Linked DNA regions of Cricetulus griseus. The protein of the gene in region 2 purifies or fractionates together with the protein of the main gene of each other region. This does not show direct contact. Links are inferred from orthologs where the notes say so. Each region holds a gene or a part of one and is shown on either strand. Other genes may lie near its edges.

The links.
Region 1: the proteins of Tle1 (region 2) and Hes1 purify together in Homo sapiens (affinity purification with western blotting; 4 studies listed by BioGRID and IntAct, with this or other methods). This does not show direct contact. The link is inferred for Cricetulus griseus from reciprocal best matches to the Homo sapiens genes TLE1 and HES1.
Region 3: the proteins of Tle1 (region 2) and Foxg1 purify together in Homo sapiens (affinity purification with western blotting; 3 studies listed by BioGRID and IntAct, with this or other methods). This does not show direct contact. The link is inferred for Cricetulus griseus from reciprocal best matches to the Homo sapiens genes TLE1 and FOXG1.

The regions. Positions count from the first base shown.
Region 1 is NC_048597.1:59,403,294-59,413,875, reverse strand, and holds Hes1 (transcription factor HES-1), read left to right. Parts: upstream 1-3,832; 5' UTR 3,833-4,111; coding exon 4,112-4,219; intron 4,220-4,374; coding exon 4,375-4,470; intron 4,471-4,757; coding exon 4,758-4,845; intron 4,846-5,463; coding exon 5,464-6,014; 3' UTR 6,015-6,385; downstream 6,386-10,582. UniProt on the Homo sapiens protein: Transcriptional repressor of genes that require a bHLH protein for their transcription. May act as a negative regulator of myogenesis by inhibiting the functions of MYOD1 and ASH1.
Region 2 is NC_048595.1:74,292,157-74,302,543, forward strand, and holds the start of Tle1 (transducin-like enhancer protein 1), read left to right. Parts: upstream 1-5,493; 5' UTR 5,494-6,388; coding exon 6,389-6,412; intron 6,413-7,014; coding exon 7,015-7,115; intron 7,116-8,465; coding exon 8,466-8,529; intron 8,530-8,629; coding exon 8,630-8,674; intron 8,675-10,387. UniProt on the Homo sapiens protein: Transcriptional corepressor that binds to a number of transcription factors. Inhibits NF-kappa-B-regulated gene expression. Inhibits the transcriptional activation mediated by FOXA2, and by CTNNB1 and TCF family members in Wnt signaling.
Region 3 is NC_048598.1:152,816,351-152,826,145, reverse strand, and holds Foxg1 (forkhead box protein G1), read left to right. Parts: upstream 1-4,252; coding exon 4,253-5,692; downstream 5,693-9,795. UniProt on the Homo sapiens protein: Transcription repression factor which plays an important role in the establishment of the regional subdivision of the developing brain and in the development of the telencephalon.

The DNA.
Region 1 (10,582 bases), on a different chromosome or scaffold from region 2:
TTGTTCATCCTCCTCCACGCACCTGCCAGGAACTAAAGCCTGAGAGGCAATAGAAACAGACAAAAAATATTAGAAGGGACAACTGGCATGCCAGGTTAAGAACAGACAGCAGCCAAAGTCATAACAGACCTTATTGCAGGAGGCTGGGAACCTGGTTAGGGTTAAAATGCTCCCCTGGACAGCTGTCCCCTGGAGATTCTGGGACAATGTATTTGTGGTTTCATTGTTGAGGTTTTTTTGTTTTGTTTTGTTTTGTTTTTTTAAGTCAAAGACTTAGTAGGAGCTTTAGTTTGCTGGGGCACAGCAGAAAGAAGGACAACTCCACAGGTTCATCACCTTTCACCATGAGGATTTCAAAAACACAGGAAAATCCCACTGCTTAAAAGGTGACCGGCAATTTTCTGTCATCACCACTTTCCCATCTGTTTAGAATATGAAAGAAGGGAGAGTCCTACCCCATTGGTCCAGGTTGCAGAGCAACAAAGAAGGCATTGTTTATCATTTCTTCAGAACAAGATAGGGCACAGCCCACCCTCCAGCATGGTAATATACACGCGCGCGCACGCGCGCGCGCGCGCGCATACACACACACACACACACACACACACACACACACACACACACACCACCCCCGTCCCCAAAGGGGCAAGAGAACAAGTGTGAATAAAGCAAGTCTGCCCCCTGAGGTAAAGGTTTGTTGCAAACTGGGGGAGGGCTGTCCCTGGAGGCAGGAAAGAAGCTTAGAAAGTAAAAAGGTCAGAACCTATTGAGATGGCAGAACATTACACCTAGGGCAAACCAACTTCCTTTTCACTCAGGTCAGCGGCCTGTGTGGTTACTGACCAGGTGACCTGGACCAAGAAGGTAGCATGTCAGCCTACATGTGTCACTTAGGAGCATTCTCTACTAGTCTGATCTCATGTGGTCGATCTCCAAGTCCTGCAGTCCACCCTTGACACTTGTCAGGGTCATCTTCCTAAGAACCCTGGTGTCTTTCCCCCCACTATGAACCTATTGTGGCGTTCGGAGTCCTTTTTTATAAAGCAGGATGTCTAAGGTCTTGTGGTGGCCTCAAATTTCTTCCTTGCCCTTCCACACATCCTGAATAAAGACCTCAGGTTCCCGAGATTTGCGCCGGGCACTCCCTTCCCCCGAGTCCATGACTCAGCATATTTCCAATGCCTCAGCCATATTTTTCTGAGGTACAAAACACAGATCCTCTCCACCGGTAACTTTACCATAACAGCTTAACATATGACTAATTCTCCTGGGTTCTCCACGTCATTTTACTCCTGTCTACTGCTCCACTTTAGGGCTCTCCCAGGGGAATCTTCTGGGAAATCTACAGATGGCAGCCATACCCACACAGGTATCTGGCAGCGGGCTAAGGCCACTGTCTCGTTCCACACATGATGCAGGTGTAGCTTTGTACTGCAAAGACACTCCTCCGATGACCCCCGCCCCTCAGAACACCATCCAAGCCCCCCAAAAGAAAGGAAAAAACAGAATCCCCAGGCATTGGTCAGAAAGTCTGATTCTGTGCGCCTCCGCCGTTGGTGGACTACTCCAAGGGAGCGGCCACTGTATCTCTCATCATGGTAATCCCCGGGTTTAACAGTGTCTGCCGTTCCATCATAAAAGAGAGAGGGGCTTGCCCAAGGTCATGCGAACCACTTCATCTCATCCCGGACCAGATCTGGAGAAATCATTCACATTATCTCGGTGGGAGCGGGGAAAGGGAGGGACGAGAGTGTGCGCCTTGTGTGCCAGGCCTCCCGGACGCGGGAAAAGCTGGGGGCGGGGATCAAACAACGTGCTGGGATTGCTAGCCGCCCGGAGTTCAGGGCGGCGGGAAATGTGAAGGGGTTGGGGACACCCGGGTGGAGGCAAGGGGCGGACGACCGGGGGCAGGCAAAGAGGGAGGCAGGCAGCCGCCGGGGGCAGCGCGCGCCGCCCGCGCCGTGCGGCAAATCCCCCAGGGAGGCCGCCGCCAGAGCCCTGGCGCTCCCGGCCCGGCGCCCGCCACGTGGCACCCGGCGGCGGCGGCGGCGACTCCTCCGGCGCGCGGCCCGGCCAGCCGGCAGCACGCAGTCGCCCGTCTCTTCCCCGCCGTCCGCCGCGGCCTCCTGGATGCAGCGAGGGACCCGGGAAGGGGCGGGCGGGCGGGCGAGCGGGCAGGCGCGCGAAGCCTCTGTAACCACAGCCGCTGAGCGGAGGCAGGAGGCTGACCCTGCCGCTTCCTAAGTGCGGTCAGGCATCTCGTGACCGCGGCGGCCGCCCGGGTCCCTCCCCCGCCGCAGTCGCCGGGGAGGTTTCGGCTGCGCTCAAACCCCAAGATCGGAGTCCGGGCTGGGTTGCTTGGGATGGAGTTGGGGGTGGGGAGCACGAATTCCCTGCTCGCCACCCCTGGGCGAGCGCTGCCCCACCCGGAAGGGCTGACCTTGGCGGGAGGGGTGGGGGGGAGGCTAACGCGGGGCCTGATCCCGACCCTCCACCCCCACGGATTCCTGACTCGCCCAGGCCGGAGGAGGGGGCCCCGGACACACACGGACACACACACACACATACACACACACACACACACACACACACACACCCCACACGCAGCGCGCGCCAATGAGCCCAGGCCAGGCGCAGGGGGCGGGGTTTTCCCAGGCTCGAGCACAGCAGCTGCTATTTACCTTCTTGGCTTCTCCCGGGGACTAGAGCCGTCCCCCGCTCCCGGCCGCCCGCCGCCGGCCCGCCTCCCTGCCCCCGGGGCGCGCGCACACACACACTCACACACGCACGCACACACACATCCTCTGGGTCCGGCCGCAGCCGCGGCGGCAATAAAACATCCTGGCACGTGCTCCGACTCCAGGCGCGCCCTCGCCGGCCGGCTGATGTCAAACTGCAGCTCGGCTGGTGGAGCTCTTAAAGGGCTCGCACGCCGGGCGCAGAGGCCGCCTATGGCCGCCCGCAGGGCGAGGAGGGGAGAGGCCGGCTCCCTGCCTGCCGCCTCTCGGTACTGCCAACCGAGAGCCTGCGGGGGAGAAAGGTATAGAGTGGCGAAGGAGCGCGCGCCCTTGTGGCATTGCTATCAAAGCCCCTCTTGTTCATTTTTCATTTGAAATTCCATTTCCTTTCTGCCCAGTAGGAAATTATTCTGATTGTTTCCTGGAGAAGCGTGAGGTCCAATGCCCCATTCCCAGGAGAGGAATGAGAAGCAAGCTGGGGGGCGGGGAAGGGGCAGACATCCAAAAGCCATCTTGCTCCAAAAAACCTGCCTGTGAAGGCACTTCTCTTTTGGGGTGGTGGTGGTGAGGGAGTGATTAGTTTGGGGGTTTGGGTATTGCTTTCCCCCCCTGCATGAGCAGTTTTCACTCCCCTGAGCATACAGAATTAGAGAATTCACTTTGGACGTTAGAGTAACACACCCTTGCGCGAGTTCCCTGGTTTTTAAATCACTAAATTATGTCTTTTCCTATATTTTCTCAAAATGTTTTTCAAATGAACTTACTATACAAAGTAGTTATATTGCACGTGGCAAAGACAATAAAAATCCAAAGACCTGGCCACAAAAGAAATAGACTATACCAAAGCCATGGCGGAAAAGTCCTTTCTAAAGCAAAGCCCAGAGGAGTCAGCAAAGGGTTAAAATCCTTTTGATTGACGTTGTAGCCTCCGGTGCCCCGGGCTCAGGCGCGCGCCATTGGCCGCCAGACCTTGTGCCTGGCGGCCAATGGGGGGGCGCAGTCCACGAGCGGTGCCGCGTGTCTCTTCCTCCCATTGGCTGAAAGTTACTGTGGGAAAGAAAGTTTGGGAAGTTTCACACGAGCCGTTCGCGTGCAGTCCCAGATATATATAGAGGCCGCCAGGGCCTGCGGATCACACAGGATCTGGAGCTGGTGCTGATAACAGCGGAATCCCCCGTCTACCTCTCTCCTTGGTCCTGGAATAGCGCTACCGATCACTAAGTAGCCCTAAGACATACTAAACCCTCAGCTGCTCAGTAGTTTTTCTTATGAAAGTCAAGTAAAAGGGGCATAAGCAAAAAAATATTTTTTGCGTGAAGGATTCCAAAAATAAAATTCTCTGGGGATTGAGAAGAAAGAAAAAGAGAAAGAAAATGCCAGCTGATATAATGGAGAAAAATTCCTCGTCCCCGGTGGCTGCTACCCCAGCCAGTGTCAACACGACACCGGACAAACCAAAGACCGCCTCTGAGCACAGAAAGGTAAGACAGTACCTGCGTCTCTCTGAAGCTATTACGTAGGCTATGCGCGGAGGGGCTCCTCGTACTTTTCCCTCTTAAAACCTCGGGGTGAAATGGCAGATCCCATGGGAGCTCAACCCTCACCCCCGGTTTTTTTTTTTTTTTTTCCTTTGCAGTCATCAAAGCCTATCATGGAGAAGAGACGAAGGGCAAGAATAAACGAAAGTCTGAGCCAGCTGAAAACACTGATTTTGGATGCACTTAAGAAAGATGTAAGTGAGCAATGCATATTATTATTATTATTATTATTATTATTATTATTATTATCATTATTATTACGAATGCAGTGGTATTTCTCAGGCACAAAGAACCTGACTCTTCCCCTGCTGTGTGAGGATCTTACCCCGCCAGCACTGCCTTCCCCTAGGCGGGAGGGAGGTTCGGGCCTCTCCCACAGGGCCCTGGGATGTGGGACATGCGGGCGGGGTTGGGGACCTTCAGAACAAGAGGCAGTTGACAAGGGGGGGTCTCACTTTCTTCCCTTGTTTCCTCTGCGTAGAGCTCCCGGCATTCCAAGCTGGAGAAGGCAGACATTCTGGAGATGACAGTGAAGCACCTCCGGAACCTGCAGCGGGCGCAGATGACCGGTGAGGACCGCGCGTGCGTCCCCTCTCTGCGGGTGTCCCTTTCGGCCCGCGGTGATTTCTTCCAGACTTCCGCCCGCGGTTGTGAGAGGCATTCAGCTACATTTTACTGCCTTGGCTCACTCCGCGTTCCCACGGTCTGGGTCTTATTTATAGCCACAACTCCCAAGTTGTTACTGCTCCGGAAAGGGAGGGAGAGGTTGTAGCCGAGAGGGTGGTGGGCGGCTTGGCTGTGGTGGAAGCTGGTGAGGGCGAAAGGACTTAGGACTGAGGCGGTTTGGGGCTGGATAGAAGCTAGGGGTCACTGGTTTAGCACCCGTCCAACCGCTGCCGCAGGAGGGGAAGTGGGACTTGGAAAGCGCCTTGGGTGGCATTGCCCAAGGTCACGTAGCGCGCGGGGCTAGAGGTGGCAGATCTGGAGCTGAGATCGGTTTAAATGGAGGGAGTGTCCTGGCTTATGTCGCCAACCTAGAGAGAAGGAGCTGGCTGTTCTTAGCCTACCCCACCCTCCCAACCCCAGATGGTTCCGGAGGCTCTCAGCGGGGACCTCCCAGGGCGGGAGGCAGTGGCCCCGGAGCCAGGGCTGTTTGGTGACCTGTCCTTTCTCCTTCTGGCCTGCAGCCGCGCTCAGCACAGACCCGAGTGTGTTGGGGAAGTACCGCGCCGGCTTCAGCGAGTGCATGAACGAGGTGACCCGCTTCCTGTCCACGTGTGAGGGCGTTAACACCGAGGTGCGCACTCGGCTGCTGGGCCACCTGGCCAACTGCATGACCCAGATCAACGCCATGACCTACCCCGGGCAGCCGCACCCCGCCTTGCAGGCGCCGCCGCCGCCCCCGTCAGGACCCGGCGGCCCCCAGCACGCGCCGTTCGCGCCGCCGCCACCGCTCGTGCCCATCCCCGGGGGCGCGGCGCCCCCTCCCGGCAGCGCACCCTGCAAGTTGGGCAGCCAGGCTGGAGAGGCTGCCAAGGTTTTTGGCGGTTTCCAGGTGGTGCCGGCTCCTGACGGCCAATTTGCCTTCCTCATCCCCAACGGGGCCTTCGCCCACAGCGGCCCAGTCATCCCAGTCTACACCAGCAACAGCGGGACCTCGGTTGGTCCTAACGCAGTGTCTCCTTCCAGCGGTTCCTCCCTCACTGCGGACTCCATGTGGAGGCCGTGGCGGAACTGAGGGGCTCAGGCCATTGCTCACCCTAAATTTCCTAGCCCACCTCTCTCTTCCGACGGACACTAAAAACGAACTTGGATATTAGGAGAGAAGACTTTTATAATTTGGTGGCTACTTTGTTGCTTTTTTTAATTTCTAAAAAGTTACTTTTTGTAGAGAGCTGTATTAAGTGACTGACCATGCACTGCATTTGTATATATTTTATATGTTCATATTGGATTGCGCCTTTGTATTATAAAAGTTGAGATGACATTTCGTTTTTTACACGAGATTTCTTTTTTATGTGATGCCAAAGATGTTTGAAAATGCTCTTAAAATATCTTCCTTTGGGGAAGTTTATTGGAGAAAGTATAATAAAAGAGTGAAGGCTTTTATGTCTTAGAACTGGTTATTTCAAAAATTGTAAAAGGAGAGTCTCTTGAAATTCATATTCCATGTAGTCTGGGAACCCAGAAATAGAATTTAAAATATAATATTAACGTTTCAAACAGAAACCACCAAACCTTTTTCACCAACACTCCACAAACTAAAAAGACCTAATTTTTGAAAAATTCATTTGATGGGGCTAAAGGACTGCAAAAAGAAAGAAAAGAAAAGAAAAAGCGTTTAAAGATAAACAGTCCCTATTTTGTGCCTTCTGAGAGGCAGTAAGGGCGACTCCGACTTAACTCCCTGGAGTAGCCACAAACCTAAGCCTCCTCAAATGTTGGGATCCATCCTTAGGTGCAGCATCGAATCCCCTAGCACCCGCGACACAAAGCTTTAACTGCCTCTCTGCACCCTCTTCAAGCAAGCTGAAAAGGTCAACAGATTCCTTCTGCCATGGGACAGCTAGTTAGACTCCCAAGTGGAGCCCGGGCCAGATGATTAACAGCAGACATGTGTTTCTGATAAGTTTCTGTGCTTGACTTTAATGGAGAAAGCATGTGGGGACCGCGCTGGCAGGCACACAGGCCGTTTTCCCCTTTTAATACAAACAGCAAGCGACCCCTTCGCTTGGTCATGCCCCATTTCCAGGCAAGATGTGGGCTCCAGATAGAAGCAAAAGGGTTGTCTCGGGTTTCAGCTCACACAACCCTCCTTAACAAGTCCTAACTCAAAGCGGACAGCTTTAAACTGTGCCAGGATCTGCAGGGAATTTCTTCCAAATCCCATCACAAAGGCTTGTCAGATTTTGTCAGATTTGGCCAGGTGTTTGACTGCATCCAGGTGTTGGGGAAATGAAAACCACGAGCCCTGCGAGACCAGACACATCAGCCGCGCTGTGGGTCTGGCCGGCGCGCCCTTCCTCCCCACCGCCGGCCAGTCCTCCTCCCAGCCCCCGCCCCGCCCGCCTGCCCGCCCTTCTCTCACCCCCCTCCCCCTTTCCCTACAGCGGCTTCTGGGAGAAGGATGAGGCGGGAGAGATCAATCTTTGAAGCTTTCCTAACAAAGATAAAGCCAACGATTTTCTGTCTTGTTTCAAAAGCCTTACCTCTCCCCCGCCTGGCTCCAGCCTTTCCCACAGGCCAATGTGGAGTGCGGCTCTACCACAGGGGTGATCTAGCAGACAGCAGCCGGTCCTTTCTAATATCTTCAGCCTCGACCCCTAGAGAGAGAGGTTTAAAAGATCGTTTTGAAAATTTGGCTCCTATTTGCCTTATTTTGTGTACAAGAAATGTGTCCAACACACCCTTTACCAAAGAAACACACACATGTCTCTTATCATTCCATTTTTCCTCGTTTTCTCTTTCTTTTAAATACAAATATAGTAACAATTGCTCCATTAAGACACCCATCCCATACTCAAATACTAAAATCTGGTAAGCCCGGTCCTCCGTCCCCCAGCAAGAGTTCTTAGCTTCTTTGGCAAAAATAATCCAGACATCAGGATCTCAATTTTATAAAAGTAATTCCTTTACATTGTTCTTTACAGGGCGGGGGGAGGGATGGGGATGGACAACTAAAAAGAAAATTTCAATTTCTTCAAGCATCTTTATTAATGTCACCAAAAGTATACACAGCATCACCCGAAGAAGCCAAGAAAGTGAGAGAAACATAAACCACCGTTGTTCTTTTGAAAAGAGCCCCTCTCCCCCAATTTGGGTTTACATTATTAGATGAAGTCTTTACAGTACAATACGGGATGGAAGAAAGACTACGTCCCAGTTGGGGACATTCATGTTCTTGAAAGCCACTGAACTCACGGCATCCCCTTGGATAAGTCATTTCCCTTTTCTAGGACAGGTCCAAGTTCATAAACAGAACAGATTTATTTCTTAGACACTGCTGCCTCCAGCATCCCTGCTGTTTCTTAAATAAGTAGCTGGGGGAGAGGTGAAGCGCCGGAGTTTATTCTGGCCTCCCTGCAGGTCCTCTGGGTCTGGCCTAATTATACTGCCTCGGGGCACACCCAGCTGCCTTACCCCTCTACCAGCTCCTGCAGAGCTGATCTCTCCGGCGATAATGTACATCTCTAAACTCTGTCCTTGAGGTCAAGGATTTAGGAGGCCTCTCCCTGGAGACCCTCGGGGCCTCGGCTCTCAGAAGGTCTCTAGCATCATCCTGAGAAGTGAGAGCCTGAGCCTGGTTTGAGCGACTGAAACTCACCCCGTCCTCGGGTCTCATCCCTCCCCCACCCCCACGTGTTTCTGCAGTGGGGACCCAGAGGTTTAACTGGACCCCCTCATCGTCACGGGGAACCTGTCATTAAAGTCAATTAACTTTCCCCACACCCTTTGGCCGGTAACAACCCGCTGCTAGCTTCCTCCGGGCTTCTAAGTGCAACCAGATGGGCGGGCGGAGTGCCCCCGCCGCGCGCCCGCCCGCCCCGGGTGGCTCGGGGTTCCTGGGAGGCCTCGGGGACCGCGACCGGGCTGGAGCGGCCCAGGGCGGCCACACCGGGCCAGCCCCGGCGGCCCTGCGGCCAAGGTGGCTCGCTCAGCAGGCCCGGCTGCTTTCTGGCAGGAAATGAATAGCTCCCAGATGAGCTCAGGCAACCTGAGAGGTCGTGAGAACGGCGCGAACCCCCGCCTGTGCAGCCGGCAGCCTGCCAGGCCGCGGGGGAGGGCGGCGGCGGCGGAGGCCCGGCGGGCGGCGGCGGGGGCGGCGAGGGGCGGGAGCCGCTGACACACGAGCCCGCGCCCGCTCCCGCTGACAGGCGGGCCGCCGCCCCCGCTTCCCCGCCCCAGGCCAGCGCCGCCCAGGCAGCAGGCCCCAGCCGCAGAGCCGCAGAGCCGCGGAGCCGCGGCCGCCCGGCCCGCCGAGGGAGGCCTGGGGGTGGGGCGGCCTGCCAGTGTTTTTCCAGTTCCCCCGGTAGCTCCGGGCCGCGTTTAGAAGCCGGAGAACTGGGCCGAGGCCATGATCGGGGCACCGGAGGCCGGCAGAGCCCTGCCAGGAGTCAGGCCAGCCGGGCAGGAGAGGGCAGGAGGGGGCCACCTCGGACCCCCAAATGCCTTGCACCGGACAGGGACGCTGGGCGTCCTAAGAAAGGGAGTTTCGGTTCTAAGCACCTTGAGTTCCCAATAGGTTCCCCGCAGCCTGCAGCTGACAACCCTGGTGGCGACACAGCGCTGTTGAGCCACCGAGACAGACCCGCTAGTGACTCATCCCACGCGTGATGTGTTAGGTTCCAGGACTGAAGTTTAAACTGAGGGTGCCCAGACAGATGAGTTCTTACCGGGGAGGAAACTAAGCAAGTTTTTCCCTTGAAGCAGGGAGGTGAAAAGCTCAACACAAGGAGAAGTCAGGCGCTGGGTGTCCTGCTGTTAACTGGTGAGGGCTCGACTGGAGCTGGAGACTGCTGCCGCCTGCCTGGAGGGCAGGGTTTGATTGTCCTAATTTCTCTAATAAAACGATTTAACTTGAAGAAGGAGAAGAGCCGGGCAGTGGTGGTGCACGCCTTTAGTCCCAGAACTCGGGAGGCAGAGGCAGGAGGATCTCTGTTAGTTCAAGACCAGCCTGATCCAGGACAGCCTCCAAACCACAGAGAAATCCTGTCTCGAAAACAAAAAACAAAAAAACAAAAAAAAAAAAAAAAAAAAAAACAAAAAAAAAAAAAAAGGAAGGAGCCCAGTGTGGTGGCATTCTCCAACAATCCCTATGAGGCACTTGGGAGGTGGAGGAGAAGGGAGGGCTCAAGGCCATTTTCAGTTATAGTAGTCTAGGCTAGCCTGGGCTACCTGATGCCCTGTCTGAAAACACCAAAAATAGAGTTAGGATTAGGTTGGTTAAAGAAAACACAGAGACAGTTTAAGTGTAGGTGTAGATGGGGAAATTTCAATCTTACCATCATTTTCGCATTTAAAATTTTAAATACAAGTTTTGTTAGCGATCGAAGAGGGGAGGGGTAGCCTTACTTCTGTGCCTCTATCCTTGCTCTACTGAAACAGAGCCATCGGGTTGAAAGCACGTGATCTGGGTCCGGTTGCTTAAATGTTTGAGTCCAGGTCAAATCATCCAATCTGTTTGTGATGTGGGTTTTGTTTTGGTTGTTGTTCCGGTTTCTGAAATGCCTTACTGTTTTACCCAGCTGACCTCCAATTCCTCAGGTCATGCCATCCTCCTGCTTCAGCCCCGCAGTCCCCCACCCC
Region 2 (10,387 bases):
CCACGTGTCCCCTCTTGTTATGCAAATTTCTAGGAAGCAGCATCAAAGTGCTGTTCAGACCACTTCTGTCTTATCTACCTTGTCTTTCAGCTACAGTCCAGCCCAAGGCAATACTGAACTTTGATCAATTTAACAGTAGATTAAAATAACAGCAGAAGTGTGCTCACTGAAATCCTTTACTATGACTGGACCTTGAGGCAGCATTTGATCAGGTTCCCAAATACTAGCTCTGTTTTACCAAGGAACCTGGCTGGTGAACAGAGAAAATTGCTAACAGGGACCTCTTCTTCTTGAAGTACTTCCAAGAATCTAATCTGGAATGTTTTATTAGCATGGAAATCCTTCACTTCTTCTTTTTTTAGACAGTCTCAGGTTAGACTGGACTTCATGAGGATGACCTTGAACTTTCTGCTCATCTTGCTTCCCAAGTGCTAGGATTATAAGCATATATCACCATGCCAAGTTGATGTAGCACTGGGCACTGAACCCAGAGCCTTTTGCAAGGTAGGCAACTGTCTTACTAACTGAGCTACATGACCCCCTTGTCCTAAAACAAACAAACAAACAAACAAAAAACCAAAAAACCCAAAATGAACTAGACCACACTAACACAAAGGAATATCCTATCCCAATGCATTAGAAGTAAACAGGATTAGAAGGAAGCAATATGCAAAAGAACACAGAGTACAATGGCATTTCTATCTCAGCACACTAATATCTACTTATAAACACATGCCCTTTGAGTTGATACTTCTCTTGAAATAACTTAGATAAACAAAAGATTGTCCCTGTCTTACTGTAGTGTTCTAGGGCCACAAACATAAGGCTCTTTAACAGCCTGATTGACTGGCTTCCAACTTCAGAGTGCAGCACCTCTAGTTCTCAAACAGTTTACTGAGTGAATAGTTAATCTCTTACAAGTTTGGGGGCTTTAATGAGGTAAACAAATGACTGGACTGCAAAAGTAAACACTGCAATTCCTCCCAGGCTCATCCCTGTTTCAAGAATTCCTTTCCTCTCCTTTCACTAGCCCCTGTTTTCTCAAGTTTGGTGTCTTATCCTGTACAAGTATTGAAATTGCAAAAGAGACCTTTTTAATTATAAGTACTACAGTAATGAATTCAAGTACACTCATTTATCATAAAGGGCTTTCCCATCTGTCTCTAAAGCATACTTAGAAATGCTGTGTATTTGATAACATTAGCACCAAGCATCTTCCACATGTTAATGTTTAGCGTTTTAGATACTGTTGGTATTTCTCTCCTCCTTACAACTTAGTGGTGGTTCCAGAAACAGCACATTCATCTGTGTATTTAGGAGTGCCTGTGTGGTCTCTTCTAATTTATTTGTTCTTCTGTCCTAAGGGATCCATCACAATCCCCCTAGGCAGGGAGATTAGGGAATGGGGCTGACTGCCTTTGCCCACCATGCCAGATGAGGAAAAACAACTTCCCCAAGTCCCTCAAGTTCTTCTGGCCACTGTACAAATTGTTCTTGAGCATGGAGAGTTTCCAAAAGCCCTAATTAGCAACTCACAGCAAACATTTCTTTGCATTAGCTAATGATCCGGCCACACTTGTAAGCAAACAGAACCAACATATCTAATCAATGCTGAAAACCAACCAAATGACTATTAAACATCTGGATGTAATTTTCCAGTTAGAACAAAATGAAAACATATGCAGGTCCCTTTGATCTTCATCTTAACAAAGAAATTGTTGATAAAAAGCATACTGGTCAGTCAATGTGTAATTTTCATAACGTCTGCTGGTTTCTCTTCAAATGTTCCCCATTTAATTTGGTTGGTTTCCTGCAATCTCTAATTTTACCATATTGTGTGAAACCACAAGAGATTCTTTGGATGTGATTTTATTTGCGGTTTCACTGTTGCATGGATCTGCTACTGATTTCTTTTCCTTCTCTGCCTTCTGTCCTCTACCTCCTCTCTTTAGGAATAGGGTAGGAATGAATGAAATGTAACAAGCACCCCTGAGAAAATTTCTTCTGGACCTTACTTCTAGGTTTAAGAAAACACTCACTTCAAACAAAACCAAACCAACCCAGTCCAAGCATGTTGACTCTTGCCTATAATCCCATTATTTTGGAGGAAGAGGCAGGAGGATTGTTACAAATTCAAGGCCAGCTGCATTTAAGTAGCCAGCTCCAGGCTAGCCAGGTTTACAAACAAAACACCCCCTTCCCCATCTAAAACAAACAAACAAACAAACAAATAAATAGCTCAAAGCAAAACAAAGGCTGAGGATGTGGTTAAGCTGGTAGAATACCTGAGCAAAACCTGTGTGGAGCCACTCACAGAATCCTAGAAGCAAGAGAATTCAAAGTTCAAGGACATCCTCTGCTACACAGCAAGTTTGAGGCCAGTTTGGACTACAAACAAAAAAGAAAACAAAATAGCCACCATCATTTATTTCAAGTCATTATTTATGTGGAATCTAGAAACTGTAATTAGCAAGAGATGAATGAAAATACACCCATGTATGCATCAAGATAAAGTGAACACACTAAACAAGCTCCTCCTCCACAGTGGTGAAATTGGTATGTTTTTCCCCCCAAGACAATTTCCTATGGAGCTGGAATATTTAACATTGTTAACAGATTTCAAATTAAAAGATGAAAGCCAGGCATGGTGGTCCATGTCTGCAGCCAATCCCATCACTTGGGAGGTAGTGGGAAGGAGAGCTACATATTCAAGCATGATCTACATTGTGAGTTCTAAGTTAGCTGTGATACAGAATGAGACGTTGTCTCAAAGAAACAAGCATACACAAAAATGTGATATATCAAAATTACAGATTGAATGAGCAAGACCATATTCATTTAAATAAGTTACAGGTAATTGCACATATATTATTCATTTCAAACATAGGATTAAAGCAACTTGATTGTCTTAAACACCATCATCTGTAATGCAGTTTGATGAGAGTTTTGTAGTATAATTATTACAGCATGCCAATCACAGAGTAAATATGACCTTGAAAATAAAAAAGGACACAGCCCTCTTCTATTCTCAGAAAGATGAACTGAATGGAAAAAGATACCTTCAAAACTCCATCATTTTTATATGTGCAATCAAAGGGCTCCCAATTTTAAAATCGTTATGTACCCCCAACCACATACTGCATTTTAAAGCAATACGAAGGGTTGGCCTGGTTTCAAAGGCTAGTACTAAGAAAGCATTAGTTAAGAGAGAAATTCTAGTTTTTACTCAGAACAAACTGGAAACTCCAGTGAGTGGACAACACTTTCTCTGAACAGTTAGTGGAGAGTAAAGGCAATGAGTTAGCATTGATGTGGAGAGTGGGGCATGTAGCAACACTTTTGCTTCTGACCCTAAACCTAGTACTTTAAAACTTAATTATCACCATTTTCTATTAAGTGAGGGGCCACCTGATAGGTAAAGCTTGGGGACTCCAGGGAGAAAATTTCACAATAGGCACAAGCACAGACTTGTGGTGTCCCAAGCACTTCCTATTCAGCTTGTGAGCTGTTCCTGGGGATAGGCCACTGACTGGGGAGATCAAACCACTGAAGGATGATTTCAAAGAACATGTTAGTTACCCAGGATCACAGGAGTTCAAAAATTCCCGTTTGGCTCACTCACACATCACCAAATCTAACCAAGGAAAGAGGCCTGTCTTTCTTCTTTTTCATTTGGTATGTTATGAAAACGAGTAACGTAAGCCTGTTCCCAATTCTACGAGAAAAGAACAACCTCAAAAGACACTGAATCCGTTTCAGCGTTTACTGTGGTCTGCAGATTTGGCTGATACCGTTCCTTTGCTTTTCATTTACAACCGATATTCGAATTGATGCACTTACAGACCATGATGCACATGCAGCCCTAGCATGCATGTTTAAAATGAACATTCCAAGTACCGCAATGAATTACCCATTTTTTTCTGTATTTCAAAGAAAAAAAATGTCAAAAGCAAATTCACATCTATTTCAGTAAGCTCCTTCCGGTAAGTCTCTATAAGGTAAAATAATGGGGATAGAGGTATTAATGCCCCAAATTTGTTAACTAGGATTCAACAAAAGATAAATGTTTGCCCAAGCAGTCCTTGCCTTTCTTACCAGAGAAGTTACCACCAGGAGGCTAAAACAGCATCATTCACTCGTGGGTCACATTAAAACAAAACAAAACCAACAAACCAACAAAAAATCTACAGGTCCTCGAACTGCTCTTTAAAGAAAGCACACGTGTGGCGATACTGCAGGTGTTTTGCTAGGGAACCAGACAAAAACCGGAGACTCAATGCATTAGTTCCATAGCATGTCTCCTTTATTTAAACCTTGAAATTCCTCTTATGTCAATCCTCATTAAACAAGCTCCTCAAGCTGCTTCATTTACCAACTCTCAGTGGCTCACACGTCTCTGCCTGGAGTACAACCAAAGCAACAGGGGAGGGGGAAGGGCAGGTTTCAGGTCTCGACGCTGGTTTATTCCATTGTCTTTCATTTCCCAGAAATTTGAAACTGACTAGTTACTCTTCCGGCTGTCTGCTAAAACTCTCGGCCACTTCTCTCCTATCCAAACAGTGAAATCATTTGAAGACCAGAACCCAGATTTCTCAGGGGGCGCAAAAGCATCTCGTCTGCGCACGGGACACGAGTGTCTAATACAGCCAGCACCTCAGGGATCTTCCCCGCCAAACCGAGTAAGGTCGACCTTTCACGAAGTGGTGCAAAATCTTTCCAAGCCTGTGCAGCTAGCGGTCCAGTCTTCCCTCGATGGTGTGCGCATGCCAGCTGCAGCGATGCTCATGCACTTCCCATCAAAGGCACAGTTCACTTCTCGTGGGTCCGTGGAAAGGCAGCTCGAGGAAAAATAAGCTCCCGATAAACTTGTGAATGGAACCTCACCTTCAGAGTAACACCCAACAAAGGGAACCAAGACAAGAAAGTGCATTCAGTTCTCGTTACCAAGACGCATGCCCTCCCCCAACAAGAAACCCCACGGTTAGTCTCAGGTACTTTCACTGAGATTTCCTTCAAGGAAAAGAGGAGCGAGCAGCAGGCTTCTGCAAACTTCAGCCCCCTGCTTTCCTCGCCTCCCGCGCGCAGGCCGTTCGAGCTCGCGGGCACTCGCGCGCTCCCCCCAACTTGCCCCACGTTACTTTGATTGACAGCCCGGCTCGCCGCTCTCCTTCCCACCGACCTTCGGAGGCGGCTTGCCAATCTCAGCGTCTGACCGCTCCCCATTGGCTGGCGTGTGCTCCCCGCAGCTCCTCGGGCACCGGAGCACTCAGAGCGCCCAGGACGCGCTGGCGAAGGAGGGGCGCAGGCTGGTGGGCGGAGACACGGGCCAGCAGAGGCCCGGCGAGGTGGGCGGAGCGAAGGCCCACACTGGCTTTGGCCGGCGCGCGTCAGCACCCCACGTTGGCACGGCGCACGCGGTTGGCCGAGCGGTCGCGGCTCCGCCTACGTCCGCGGCGGCCCTGGCGCTTGCCGCCCCCGCCGCTTGTCTCGGGCGGGGCGCTGGTTTGCTAGCGAGTGTGAAACCGCGTGTTAATGTAAGCGGCGCGAGAGGCGCGGGCGGCGGCAGGAGCAGCGGCGGGGACCCCGCGTCCCGGGGCAGGAGCCGGGACTCGCCTTCGACGTGGCCCGCAGCGGAGGGAGGCCGAGCGGCAGCACGCTCTCCGTCGCGTGGACGTTTGCCTCCGGGTTGTGAGAGAACTTTGCGGCGGCTGGAGCTGGTCCGCCCTTCGCCAAAGAGTCGGGGAGGGGAAGGCAAGCGCAGGGAACGCTGGAGCCGCGGAGCGCGCCCGGCGGCCTGATGCCTGGGCTGGAGGAGCGCCGGGCGGCCGAGGGGCTGCACCGCTAGCACTAGCCGCGGACCGGAGGGAGGGCGCGTACTGGCGCGACCCTACCTGCGCATCAACCGTCTTCGTCTCCGCAGCTCCGCGCCGCGCCGGAGACTCTGCAACGCCGTTTGCTGAGCCTCGGGGTGACCCGGAGCTCACCGTCGTGGGAGCGGGTGACCTCCCGACCTGAGACGCCGCGCTTGCCGCTGGCTGTCTACGTGGGTTTTAGCCAAGGCGCCACCTGCGCGGCCGCCGCCGCAGGGAGGAGACTAACAGCCCGTCTGCCTTCGTGAGCCGCCCAAGGGAGCGCGGCCGGGGGCACCGGGTGGAGGACCGCCGTAGGACCCGGCGCCCCCGCTGCGCAGACTCGCAGGCGCGGGGCCGAGCCGCCCGCGATGTGGTCCTGAGGGCGGGGGCCGCACCCGTCGCGCCCTGGCCTTGTATCCTGAGCGCCCCGCGCGCCGGCCTGCTGCGCTGCTTCGCGGTCCCCGGCGGGATTCAAGTTGGAAGTGGCGCGGAGGATAGAGCTATCCCGGAACAGAGCCTCGGCTGCCGCCAGAGCGATGTTCCCGCAGAGCCGGCATCCAGTGAGTCGCCGGCGCGGGTGGGAGCCTGTCCTGCTTGGGAGCCCACGAAGCCCTGCTCCCCCCGCCCCCGCCTGTCCCCTCCTTCTGGATGTCTAGACGCCCGGACCGGGGTTTCGCAGTCACCTCCCGCCTATCCCGAGGCCGGAGTGATCCTGGCTTTGCCACTCGTCTCGCCTGTTTACATATAGTCAGTGCGGCCGGGTCACTCCAGGACTGGGAGCTAAGAGGGAGTTGGCATTTCTTCTTCGGTCCCCGGGGTCTTTTAGCGCACGGTTTGGGGAGGGGTGGCCTGGACGGCGAAGCTCTGGTCCGGCCCTTCTCAGTCTCTCCGGGCCGGGTGACCCCAGGGCGTCGGGCTCGCACAGTCCACATTGGAGGTAGACTTGCTTCTGTAACCCTCTTGAGAAATTAGGGCCCCGGGAAGGTGTGCTTTCTCTCTCTCTAAAGTGAACCGAGGGCTCGAGTTTGGGGCTCCGTTTTCCACCACTTCTAACTTTATTTTTTTGTTTATGTCCCATCCGCTTCTCCCTCCTCTGACTTTTCTGCTTTATGCCCTCACCCTCATATCCCCTTCCTTGGTCTTCCTTGCTGGTCACCTGCAGACGCCGCACCAGGCTGCAGGCCAGCCCTTTAAGTTCACTATCCCGGAATCCCTGGACCGGATTAAAGAGGAATTCCAGTTCCTGCAGGCGCAGTATCACAGGTGCGTGACGACCTGCTCGGGGTGGTGGTCACCTGGGGGCTCTTTCCTCACTCGGCCAGGCTGCTAGGACTGTGTACTTAGTGCTTGTGTCCAGGCGGTGGCGTGTGGAGTCACAGTTAAGCCCTGTCATTCATGTTACCCCCCTTTCTTGGCTCTCCGGGCCGCCCCTCCTGTTGTCTCCTCCTCCTCTTCCCATTGTTTCCCCTTTGCGCATTTGCGGCTGTTCCAGGGAGTCCCTTTTCGTGTATTTTGGAGTTGCATGAGAACCGTCAATATTTGCGCTTCGTTTATTTATTTTGCAACAGGCTGAACTAAAACATGGGTTCAATCAATGGCTCAGCTCTGTAGTGTGCGTTCAGGAAGGCAAAGCCATGTTGAAATCGCTGTTTACCATACTAGAAAATTGGGTTGTCTGAGACAAAGTCCATTAGGAGGGCTAGCTGCGTTTAGCTGTGCCCATCATGGGTGATTAGGTGGTAGAATGTAGATAATGTGTGTGGCCCACACTCTGGGGTGTTTGGATAGGCCAGGGGAATAAAACCACATTCACATTGACCTTGGTTCTGAGTTCTTTATGTAATGATACCATCTTCAACGGATTTCTTAGAGAAAAATCTTGCTAAAGCCTCCATCGATAGTGAATTATCCAGAAAGGCAACTTATTTTGCTCCTATGTGGTTTTGATTCATTGGAACTAAGCAATAACTTAGAAGAAGACTTTTACTTTTCTCATGCTGTAAAAAAAAAGGACCAACCTAAGGCTTGGTGGCTTGGGTGTAAATTTTCATATTTTGTCAGTGACTTTTTGATTTTTGAGCTGTTAGCTGCTTTAAGGTGTTATCTCCAGAACTTGAGGCATACTTGCACACACTGTTTACTGAACAGGGCCAGAACTTCAACCCACTTTGCTGCTGTAGCTGCTTGTCATATTTTGGCAGGAATTCAAAACGAAAGGTTTTGAAAGGCACTAGTTGTTATAGGAGTAACTTTACCAGTAAAGTGTCTCAAAACTGAAGATGCCTGTGCTAGGGAAGGGAGGTTGTGCAAAGGACATACTTTGGTGCAGTCAGGAGAAGTAGGATGGGGACAGATGCGCAATCTTTTTTAATAGGTTTTTCCTTCTTGCACCCTCAACATGGTATGTGCCCCAAGAACAAATAGAACAGTAGTTGGTGGATATTCGTTGTTGTTCACTTTCTTTCCCAGCATTGAATACAAAGACAGCTTTAAGGATGTTTTCCTAGCTTATGACTTTTCCAAATTGTTTTTACTTGAAGTGCAAATATGTGAGGCAGATGTTAAAACAAGTGACATAATGTTTACCTTAAGCTGCCTGTTTTGTTTTTGTAGTCTTAAATTGGAGTGTGAGAAATTGGCAAGTGAAAAGACCGAAATGCAGAGGCACTACGTGATGGTAGGTATCAAAGATAGGACCTTTTTCTCTTCACATAGCGGTGTGTGTTCTTACTACAAAAAATGTGAGTTAACGACTTGCTTGGTTCTTCTCTTTACAGTATTATGAAATGTCATATGGATTAAACATTGAAATGCATAAACAGGTAAGCTTTAGCTAAATGTTAAGCTGAGAAAGCAGTTTATAGGATTTTGCCATGCTGGTTTTGTCCTCAGTCACTGCATGATAGGGTGGGTGTTTGTGGGCTATTTTTCTGCCCTTCTTCGATTTGGCATTAACATGCTGCAGCAAGGATTGCTTCTTCAGGGTTACAAGACTAGCTGAGGTGCTTTGGAAATGTTTACAGGCAGAGAGGAACTGAGCTCAGGTTACTTTTCCACTTGGATAGATTTAAAGATCTCAGATATATTGTGGTTACTGGAGTTTAGGACAGTTCATATTCTTATATGTTTGGGTATAAACTGTGGAAAGTGAGGGGGAGGGGGTACTTGAGAGTTTCTTTAATCAGACTTAATAAAGCATATGACTTTAGAGTGCTCTTATGCTTTGGTGTTCTGGAAAGTGACACTCAAGATTAGTGGCTTATTAGCAAACATGTTTTTGAAAATTTTCTCGGTTGATGTCGATTTGGAGGAGAAAAAAAAAGTCCTTTTATGGCCAACGAGCGTGTTGGAAGGTGCTTCAGTCCTAGTGGTTTTAAAAGCATGAAAAGATTAGTGACTGGAAAGCTTTAGCAATGACTTGAGTTTGCAAGTTCCCATAAAATTCACACTTATGGCTACTATAATGGTGTATAAAAAGAGTATTGAGCTGGAACAAGACACTAAGGACCTCATAAGAGAAGAAAAGCTAAATGATTGCTCAGCCCAAAGGACCCTCAATTGAGTAGTCATTGTCTGCCAAAGAAAGCATTAATGGCAGGGTGCAAGTGTTCTGAAGATATGCTGACATTCACTTTATCAAAATGCTGGTACAATAAGTCTTTTAGAAATCGATTGCCTCTTAAAAAATTATCATCAGATGAAGTTGCACAGTTGGACACGTTTCAAAGTGCAACAATACAATTCTTACTTGATGTATATGTGCTATTTCATCTCAGACCCTTGTTTCATTAAATTAAAGAGCATGGCTGACCGGCTGGGGCATGGTGGAGAAATTGATTAGTTCAGCCTTCAGATCTTCCTTATATTCAAAGATTTTCATTAAGCAAATCCATTTCGGAGTTGAATTCTGCTTTTGTAACTCTGCACGCTTTGATTTTTAATTCATCATAGATTTCATAATTATGTACATTAGATCTGTTCCCAGATACATGTTTTCAGAGTGCTAAGTCAGAGCCTTTCAGTAACTAAGGTAATGAGCCTTTCATAAAATGTTTGTTTTACTGATTTGCAGAGTTCTTTATGTGGTGCTGATTTCCTGTATTTCTGCTGCTGGTGTGCTTTGTTGAGGTTTTTAAGTCAATGATAGTGAGCTGGTATATCTCTGGTCTATGGCCATTTAAATTAAGAATGTAAATAAACTTGGTGTAGGAATTCTAATTTGCATCTTTTAAGTTACTCTGTAGGGCACTTTTTCTTTTCTATTATGTATTCTGGGCACTGAGCTTTTTCTTAAACATGTAAACTGGAAGGATTTAATGACCCACAGACTCTTGTACAAGGGAACAGCAAGTAGCACACAAGTTAGGTGCTGGTGTTGGTCTTATTGAGGAAACAGAAAGAGGTGTGTTAATTCTGGGTTCTGGTGACTTTATTTACCATAGAGAGAAGGAGTAAGAGGCCAGAAGGGTCAGACACCCCTGGTGTGAACAAAGTTTTCTCTTGGGTTCTGTACTGTTGTGCCTTGGGCATTTGTG
Region 3 (9,795 bases), on a different chromosome or scaffold from region 2:
TCCCTGTTCAGAAGTACACTGTGGAGTCTTGAAGGTTAATTAAAAATCTAGAAGGAATTATCTAATTCATTTCCAAAGAATCTTCCATTGGAATTGCTTACTATACAATTCTTGTCCTCTTTGTGAGTGGGTGGGTGGGTGGTAGATGAGTACTGAGGCCTACAAGTTCACCACTATGTAAACCAACAAATCACATTTACTCTGATACACTGTTATGTTCACTACTTCACTAACCTACACATTTGCAGATTTATAAGTGTGAGGTTAAATTGATTAGGAGGAAAACTTACACTGATTGGGGAATTGGTTTCCGGTCTGAGACCACTGGCTGCCTGCCCTCTGTCTTCTGAAGGTAATCACAGAGGCTGAAAACAGGGCTTTATGTGCTCAGGGAAGAGGCCCGTGGTGGACGTGGGCAGGACTTCAAATCCAATTTGCACCCAAATTGGTTGGTAGGATATACAAAGCCCCATCCAGAGACTTTCAACTTCACAATACTTTGTCCAGAAGTCCCTTCCCCCTCTGTTTCAGCTAGCAGCTGATCTAAAAAGAAACCATTGCTGATACAAATATAAGCCGCTGAGTAAACAGTGCATGTTTTGTTGAAGAAGGCTGATATACATATGTTTTTGTTTGTGTTCTGATATATATTCCCATCTCATCATAAAGAGCAATTAAAATTATTTAAAGGGATTCAAACTTGCTTTTTTGGAAACTGCAAATAACCTTTGCATCAGGAAACTAGTTTTAATATTATACCAAACTATATTCTGTGTTTTTACTATTAAACATCCTGTTTGGAGAGACTTGCATTCATGCAACCTTAAAAATCCCACGCACATCTTTAATTCGCATGCAAAAACATTTTTCAGGCCACTATAAGCCTTGACATATAAAATCAGATTACTGAAGCTCTCACTTTCCAAACCCCAGTTTTGCTCTTTGAAAGTAAACAGAAGAAAACCTTACTTCTCCTGCTAATTTCTTCTACAGGGTAGCAAAACAATACACATTTAGCTTTAACCTAAGCACTACCTCAAAACATTAAAAATTCATCAGTCAGTGCTGGTGTTGTATTCAAGGAACACTCCTCCAGTTCACTGCTGAGCTCAGATTGGAATAAAATGTCCAATGTTAACAAACAATACCCACGTTTGGCACTTTGTGTATTAAATTGATCAAACAGATTTTAGAAGACACAATGCACAATTTGTACAGACCTGATTGAGTTAATATAATATCAGCAAATTTTACATCGAAATGATTCTGTTTCTTTTCTTTGTGTTTAAAACCAGCACAGATTACAAATTTTAATGATCTGAAAATGTTTGGTATACAAAATCATGCTTATTTCAGTATTAGCAAAAACACAAGAAATTTTTCAACACAAACACCCAGCTGTGTCTATTTTAAAAGCAGTTCAATGACAGCTTGCACTTATGAGCATGCAATCAGCTAATTTCGCTTTTTTTTTCTTCTGTGTTAATCAACACTTTCCTTCCTGCATATCAGAGTACAAATAGTATAGTTACTCCACATCAGTAAATGTTTACGTAACCTGTCCTTTCCCAAGAATCCGGTTACACCGAATCATTTCACGCTAGACCGACTACGAAAACGTACCGGGCCGTCCACCTCAGAGGGAGCCCCGTGAGCCATTATAAGCGTGGTGAGAAGGGGGGTTGGGGGGATGGGGAGGAGTAGGTGGAGGAGTGGAGGGGAGAGGAAAGGAGGGAGGGAGAAGGGGTGGCTTAGTGAAAAGAGGAGAAGGAAGAGGGGAGGAGGAAGGAAAGCAAGCCAGTTGAGGAACCACTGAGAAGAATGGGCCTGAGGAGGAGAAAGAGCGGAAGGGGAAGTGAACCGGACAACTGGGGCTCACAGATCTCTCTAGCTGTGGCAAACCCAAAGCTTAGAAATCAACCTTTGGCGACCGATGTTGCTTGCAAAGTAGATTGCTAGAACCCTGGAATTTTTCTTCATGCATAGCTTGTTTTAATGTAAGCGGATTTGTAGAAATAGATCCAACCAGTGGAAGGATATTTGGGGACAAATATTCGAAGATCCCTCACAACATTCCTAATAGATATATTAAAATCGTTAACTATTTATAATTGGGTATTATTCTCTTTAATGTTTCTCTCCCCTACCCTTCCCTCTGCCCGCGCCCCATTTCAAAGTTGGGGGTGGGAACACTGGAATAGCTCCCTGTTAGTTTAAGGATTCATCTATTACATTTTTGTGCTAGATTTAAATGTCATACATAGGCCCTGCTTTTTCTCCCTTCATTTAAAAAAGAAATATCAAGTCTGCCAGATCATTTAGCTAAGAGCTCATCACAGTGAAAAATGCTTGCATGGCTAGAGTATTTTACCTTAAAGAGGAGGAGAAAGGTACTCGTGACCTATGCATCTCCACCTCCCTCTTCTCTTGGGCTACGTCCTCCTTACAAGGTGGCGTGCTTCGAGCCCGTGGGGGCTAGAGACGCATCTGATCCGTGTGCTGCAATCCCTGGGAAATGATGGGCCTTAGCCCTGGCCCTGTGCGCGAGATTCGAGTAAAGCTTTTGAATCACAAGCTAGCCACTCATTTCTACCTCCCCACCAAACCATCCCTAAACCCTCGAAGCCGGGACTGTCAAATTCACGTTCCCAGGCTCCCGAGAGAATTACAGCAGCATCCAGGAATGGCAAGAACTGATTTCAATATACTGATGTTTCAAGATTGAGGTTTTAAAGAAATAAAGCATTTGTGAGTGTGGGTGGGCAAACATAGGATTTTTTTTTTTTTTTAAGAAGGAAGGAGACATCCACTCTTCAATGTCAAGCAAAATGAAAATATTTCCAGGGTGACCGATTGCAGCTACCAGCTTCCAGTACTGCCTAGAAGCTGAAGAGGAGGTGGAGTGCCCGAGGAGAAAACGCGACCCGGTCACCGCGCGGGAGCGCGAATCTTGGAGTGAAGGGAGACATACGGAGCGCGCACGTGTTACCTGCTTTATTTCGGGACTGTTTGGTACTGTGTTCGCACTGGGCAGCTCTCCGCCCGGAAGGCCGCCCCCGCACGCCGCCCTCAGCGCCTCTTCGCGGCAGAGCTCGCCGAGGGCCTCAGAAACCCGTAAGTACCGGCCTGGCCGTGGCCGCCCCCGCCCCATATACCAGGCCAGGCTCCCCCGAAACCCGGTTATCCCGGGCCGCTGGCCCATCGGCTCCGAGGGCGCTTCTCGGACTGCTGCGTTCGCTAAGGTTCACGCCCTTTCCCGCACCCTCACAGCTCGCCCCTCCACCGCGCCCCCGCTCTTAGAGACAAAATTGGATACAAACTTTAATCAATAAGGATAAATATTGACGCGCAAAGGAAAATAATCCCATACAGGGAGGAAGCCGCAGGCGAGCGGCCGGGGTCCGGGGCGCACGCCCCGCGCTAATCCTGGCCGGGTGGGCGAGCTCCCGCCGATCCCCGCGCGGCTCCGGGCCCGGGCCCGCCACCCGGAGGGGGCAGGCGCAGGGGGCGGGTCCGGGGCGGGGCGGGGATGGGCGGGCCCTGGGTTGCCGATTGGTCGACGGCCAGCTAGACGCTCCCGCACGCCGCCGGCTGTGATTGGTGCAGCGGTAGGAAAGGTTAAACCAAAAATTTTTTTACAGCCCTAGTGTGCGCCTGTAGCTCGGAAAATTAATTGTGGCTATAGCCGCCTCGATCGCTGTCTCCCAGCCTCGCCGCGGCCGCTCCGGGACGCGCCCGCCCGCCGCCCGGCTCTCCCCCCCTTCGGGCTGCCGCTGCTGCTGCTGTGACTGCTGCGGCGCGAGGAGGAGGAGGAGGCAGCGGGGGAGGGGGAGGCCGGGCGCGGAACGGAGCGGGGCGCTGCACCCCGGGCGGCGGGTTGCTTCTGCCTCTTGCTTTTTTTATTTCTCCTCTCTCTCTCTCTCTCTCTCTCTCTCTCTCTCTCTCTCTCCTCTCTCTCTCTCTCTCTCTCCCTCCCTCCCTCTAGCTCTCCCTCTCGCTCTCTCTCGCTCTCTCTCTTTCGCTCTCTCTAATTTTTGAGGGGTGGTTGCAGCTTTTGCTACATGCCTTGCCAGCGCCGGAGCCTGCGGTCCAACTGCGCTGCTGCCGGAGCGCTCAGTGCCGCCGCGCCGCCGCCGCCGCCGCCACCACCCCCGCTCCCCCCGCGCCCCGCTTCGAACCCACCGGCCGCCCGCCGCGCCGCTACACGGCTACCGCGCCGCCGCCGCCGCCGCCGCCCCCCGACGCCTGGGTGATGCTGGACATGGGAGATAGGAAAGAGGTGAAAATGATTCCCAAGTCCTCGTTCAGCATCAACAGCCTGGTCCCTGAGGCCGTCCAGAACGACAACCACCACGCGAGCCATGGTCACCACAACAGCCACCACCCCCAGCATCACCATCATCATCATCACCACCACCACCCGCCGCCGCCCGCGCCCCAGCCGCCACCGCCGCCCCAGCAGCAGCAGCAGCCGCCCCCGACCCCGCAGCCCCCGCAGGCACGAGGCGCCCCGGCAGCCGACGACGACAAGGGCCCGCAGCCGCTTCTGCTCCCTCCGCCCGCAACCCTGGACGGGGCCAAGGCCGACGCGCTGGGAGCCAAAGGCGAGCCGGGCGGTGGGCCCGCAGAGCTGGCGCCCGTCGGGCCGGACGAGAAGGAGAAGGGCGCCGGTGCCGGGGGGGAGGAGAAGAAGGGGGCGGGCGAGGGCGGCAAGGACGGGGAGGGGGGCAAGGAGGGCGACAAGAAGAACGGCAAGTACGAGAAGCCGCCGTTCAGCTACAACGCGCTCATCATGATGGCCATCAGGCAGAGCCCGGAGAAACGCCTGACGCTTAACGGCATCTATGAGTTCATCATGAAGAACTTCCCCTACTACCGCGAGAACAAGCAGGGCTGGCAGAACTCCATCCGCCACAACCTGTCCCTCAACAAGTGCTTCGTGAAGGTGCCGCGCCACTACGACGACCCGGGCAAGGGCAACTACTGGATGCTGGACCCGTCGAGCGACGACGTGTTCATCGGCGGCACGACAGGCAAGCTGCGGCGCCGCTCCACCACGTCTCGGGCCAAGCTGGCCTTCAAGCGCGGGGCGCGCCTCACCTCCACTGGCCTCACCTTCATGGACCGCGCCGGCTCCCTCTACTGGCCCATGTCGCCCTTCTTGTCCCTGCACCACCCCCGCGCCAGCAGCACTTTGAGTTACAACGGCACCACGTCGGCCTACCCCAGCCACCCCATGCCCTACAGCTCCGTGTTGACTCAGAACTCGCTGGGCAACAACCACTCCTTCTCGACCGCCAACGGGCTGAGTGTGGACCGGCTGGTCAACGGGGAGATCCCGTACGCCACACACCACCTCACGGCCGCTGCGCTCGCCGCCTCGGTGCCCTGCGGCCTGTCCGTGCCCTGCTCCGGGACCTACTCCCTCAACCCCTGCTCCGTCAACCTGCTCGCGGGCCAGACAAGTTACTTTTTCCCCCACGTCCCACACCCGTCAATGACTTCGCAGACCAGCACGTCCATGAGCGCCAGGGCCGCGTCTTCCTCTACGTCGCCGCAGGCCCCCTCGACCCTGCCCTGTGAGTCCTTAAGACCCTCTTTGCCAAGTTTTACGACAGGACTGTCCGGGGGACTGTCTGATTATTTCACACATCAAAATCAGGGGTCTTCTTCCAACCCTTTAATACATTAACATCCCGGGGACCAGACTGTAAGTGAACGTTTTACACACATTTGCATTGTAAATGATAATTAAAAAATAAGTCCAGGTATTTTTTATTAAGCCCTCCCCCCCATTTCTGTACGTTTGTTCAGTCTTTAGGGTTGTTTCCTATTCTAACAAGGTGTGGAGTGTCAGCGAGGTGCAATGTGGGAGAATACATTGTAGAATATAAGGTTTGGACGTCAAATTATAGTAGAATGTGTATCTAAATAGTGACTGCTTTGCCATTTCATTCAAACCTGACAAGCCTATCTCAAAAGGCTGCCAGATTTCCATGTGTGCAGTATTATAAGTTATCATGGAGCTATCTGGTGGACGCAGGCCTTGAGAACAACCTAAATTATGGAGAGAGTTTAAAAATGTTAAACTGTAATTTGTATTTAAGAATTTGTAGTAAAGGTGCCCAAGAAATTATATTGGCCATTTATTGTTTTGTCCTTTTCTTTAAAGAACTGTTTTTACCTTTTGTTTACTTTTAGACCAAAGATTGGATTCTAGCAAATGCACTTGGTATACTAAGTATTAAAACAAACAAACAAACAAACAAACAAACAAACAAACGAAAAAGGAAAGTTGTTTAGTTGGCAACACTGCCCATTCAATTGAATCGGAAGGGGACAAAATTAAGGATTGCCTTCAGTTTGTGTTGTGTATATTTCGATGTATGTGGTCACTAACAGGTCACTTTTATTTTTTCTAAATGTAGTGAAATGTTAATACCTATTGTACTTATAGGTAAACTTTGCAAATATGTAACCCGTGTTGCGCAAATGACGCATCAATTTGAGTGATTGTTAATGTTGTCTTAAAATTTCTTGATTGTGATACTGTGGTCATATGCCCGTGTTTGTCACTTACAAAAATGTTTACTATGAACACACAGAAATAAAAAAATAGGCTAAATTCATATATATCTTGATATTTTTGTCTCTTTTATTAAGTAGAGCTAATGTGCAAATTACCATTTGATTTATAGGGAATTCGAAGGCTTTTTCAGCCAAGTTGGAGTTTAAACTGCTCCTTTATTTTCAAATGAGAATAGTATCATTTTTCCCTTTGTGAACAAATTTTACCAGGAGCAGGTTACTTAATAAATACTAGCTTTAAATGAAGTATAGGCTTTTCAGCTAATATCTTTAATTTTGTAGAAATACAGAAAAAAGAAGATATTCAATTTTATGTGCATAGCTGTTTATTCTGTGCTTTATTTTAAATTCAGTTGACAGAATGCCATATATATATATGTATATATATATATATACATATATATATATATATATATAATTTCCGGTATCGTGTTAATAGAAGTTGGCACATTATAAATAAATATATGTATATAGTTAGAAGTGAATAATGAACACGCACATATATATACATATACATATATGCATATGTATATATGCATATATATCCCTTCAGTTCAGGTACAATTTGCGCTATGAATGCTGCAAACATTTTTGTTTAAATATTTGTATTTATACTTTCTAAGTCAGCATTTATTTTTGTGGCTGTTTACCCACAATGAACGAATTCTAATAAAGATGTGCTGAGTTGCAATGTAGAGCTTGCTGAAGTGATCACCTGTTACAATGACTCACAGAAGGATGTTGATATTTAAATTTTTAATTACAACTTAAAATTCTAGCTATTCAAAGTAAAATACCCCTATCTTCCCTATCCATTTTTACAACATAGAGGTATCTGTTTGGTTCAATTTTCAATATATTTGTATAATTTAATTTAGAGATGTGTTTCTTTTGCTTGAATCATTTTTGCTTTGAGTGCAATATGCATATATACCAGATATATTGCATGTGTTCATATATGCATATATATCAGACAAAATGAAAACTTTTTCAAACTGTTTCAGACAGCCCACTTGCTATAAACCCTAAAAAATAATTGGAAAACCTGAGTTAGAGTTTTAGTAATTAATTGGATCCTGTGGTGATTCTGTGGAAGACAAGTTGTTCATTTGTTACATTTGTATAGTCTGAAATGTGCTCTGCAGTAATGCAATAAGCTGGCCACTTCTTACAATGGGACCAGTGAAAAATAATATGTCCCTAAGATGTTATCAGCCAGCACTTAGAGGTTGCTCAGGAAAGGGGGCGGGTGGCTAGTGGAGAAGCAGGTTGGCTAACATTGATTTGAAATTCACAAGAGTTGATGTTGGAAAATGGGGGTGACTGGATCTTGAATGAAGAGGGGAAGAAAGGGCGTGAGGGGAGGAGAGGGGGAGAGAGAGATTCTAGGAAATTTTGAAAAGCTGGAATCAAATTTAAAAGAGAGAGAGATAGGCAAAATTTTGTTGTCTTAATGTGAAACTAGATTTACCTTAGATCTAAGTTTCTTGAAGTCTACCAGTTGTTTAAAGTGAATCACAAAAAAGTACCACAAATTACTATTAAAAAAAAGAAAAGAAAAGAAAAAGAAAAAGAAAAAGAAAGAAAGGCCAGTGTGGGCTTAGCAAAGAAAACCTTTATTGCAGTTGAAAGGCAAACTAGCTCAGGGAAAGTCCTGCATTTAAGCTTGGGGGGTGGGGGGATGATGAGTTATTGCTTGCTTCTGCTATGGGTTTTCTCTATAGAATTAGTACTTACTACCACAGAAGAAATACAGTATTGCAAAAGTTGAAAGGAAAGCCAAATTCACATAATAAAGCGACAAGATGTAGCTATTGAAGAAAGAATTTTATGTATAATTTTCCTCTGGCCAAAGTAAATTAACTATCTGTACTTACTTGTGACCTTATGAAGTGTTTATTTGGAAGACAGAGAAATAGAATTTCTATGGCCACCTTTTGTACTTCAAGTCCACAGTGAAGTTGCCTTTTTGTATTCATGCGTATTAATAGGTATTGAAGTAGAGGTGTGCTTTGGCACATGCTCATGTCTGATTTAAATATGTAGTGGATGTGATTGGTAGATTGTTTATTAGGCTTCCTAGACATGAAAAATACCTATATATTTATAGAAAGAGAAGTTGGTACCAGCTTTCTGAAGCCCAATGTGTGAATAATTCTTATATCATTTTCCTGATCTAGTCTACCCTCCCTCTTGATGCCCTCTTCTAAAAATAACAATCTGGTATGGCATTGGTACATTTAATTTTGCTTCAGACTGGTAGTTACAATGTTTTCCTATGTGTTGTCACCAACTTTTGGGTGTTACAGTCAGTTCATTCCAGACAAACACTTATAAAACTTTTGGAAGATTATTTTCTTTCAACTTTATATTTGAAATGAAATGGAGGCTGTCCTTTTTGAAAACTTGGAAAAGAAAATGATCACAATTAAAAATGGAGACTCCAAGTTGAAATAGTGCAGGTTTATATTACAGTATTTTACTTTAGTTGACATAACTGAAAGTTAACCCAATTGTTAATACACAAACACAGAGGAATGATACAAAATACAGCAGTGAAGGAGTTTCTTCATCTAGTTGCAAAAATCAAGTAAATCTGAAACTGTTCAACGCAAGTGTCCTTGTACTCAAAGTATTCTTGCAGAGGCTTATGTGACTGGAATCACAGCAAGGACAGAGAGGAAAAAAAAAATCTGTCTTGAGTGTATTGATTATAATATGCATTCAGGTTGGTACATATTTTACCCCAATAGATGGGTAAATCAAATCTGTTAGCATTCTATATAAAAGTATGACTTTTTACAACATGTATTTTCTACTTTCTCACTGAGAATTTGCATGCATTGAAATAATTTCAGTTTTGATAAATTAATTTTGTGAACAGCTAATGTAGTTGGTTGTTTTTAAGGCTGAAAGCCTGTTGGCGAATTAGGTTAACAAAAGGTGAAAGTGATGATCACTAGAGGTTTCAGTGCTGGCTGAGACCGGGCTGCTGAGATTGTGTAACTGCCCTAGAGGGTGGGGTTCCCGTAGGTTCCTACTACAGCAGATAACCTGCCCCAGCACCATTCCAGTTTCCACCAGACAGATGGAAATCTCCAAACGAAAATCTGCGCAGCTCTTCCAAGAAACAGGGTAGGTGAACATTGAATTTTACATTTCCCTCTTATTATCTTTCTACTCAAGGCCGGATCCTGGAGTTGCAAA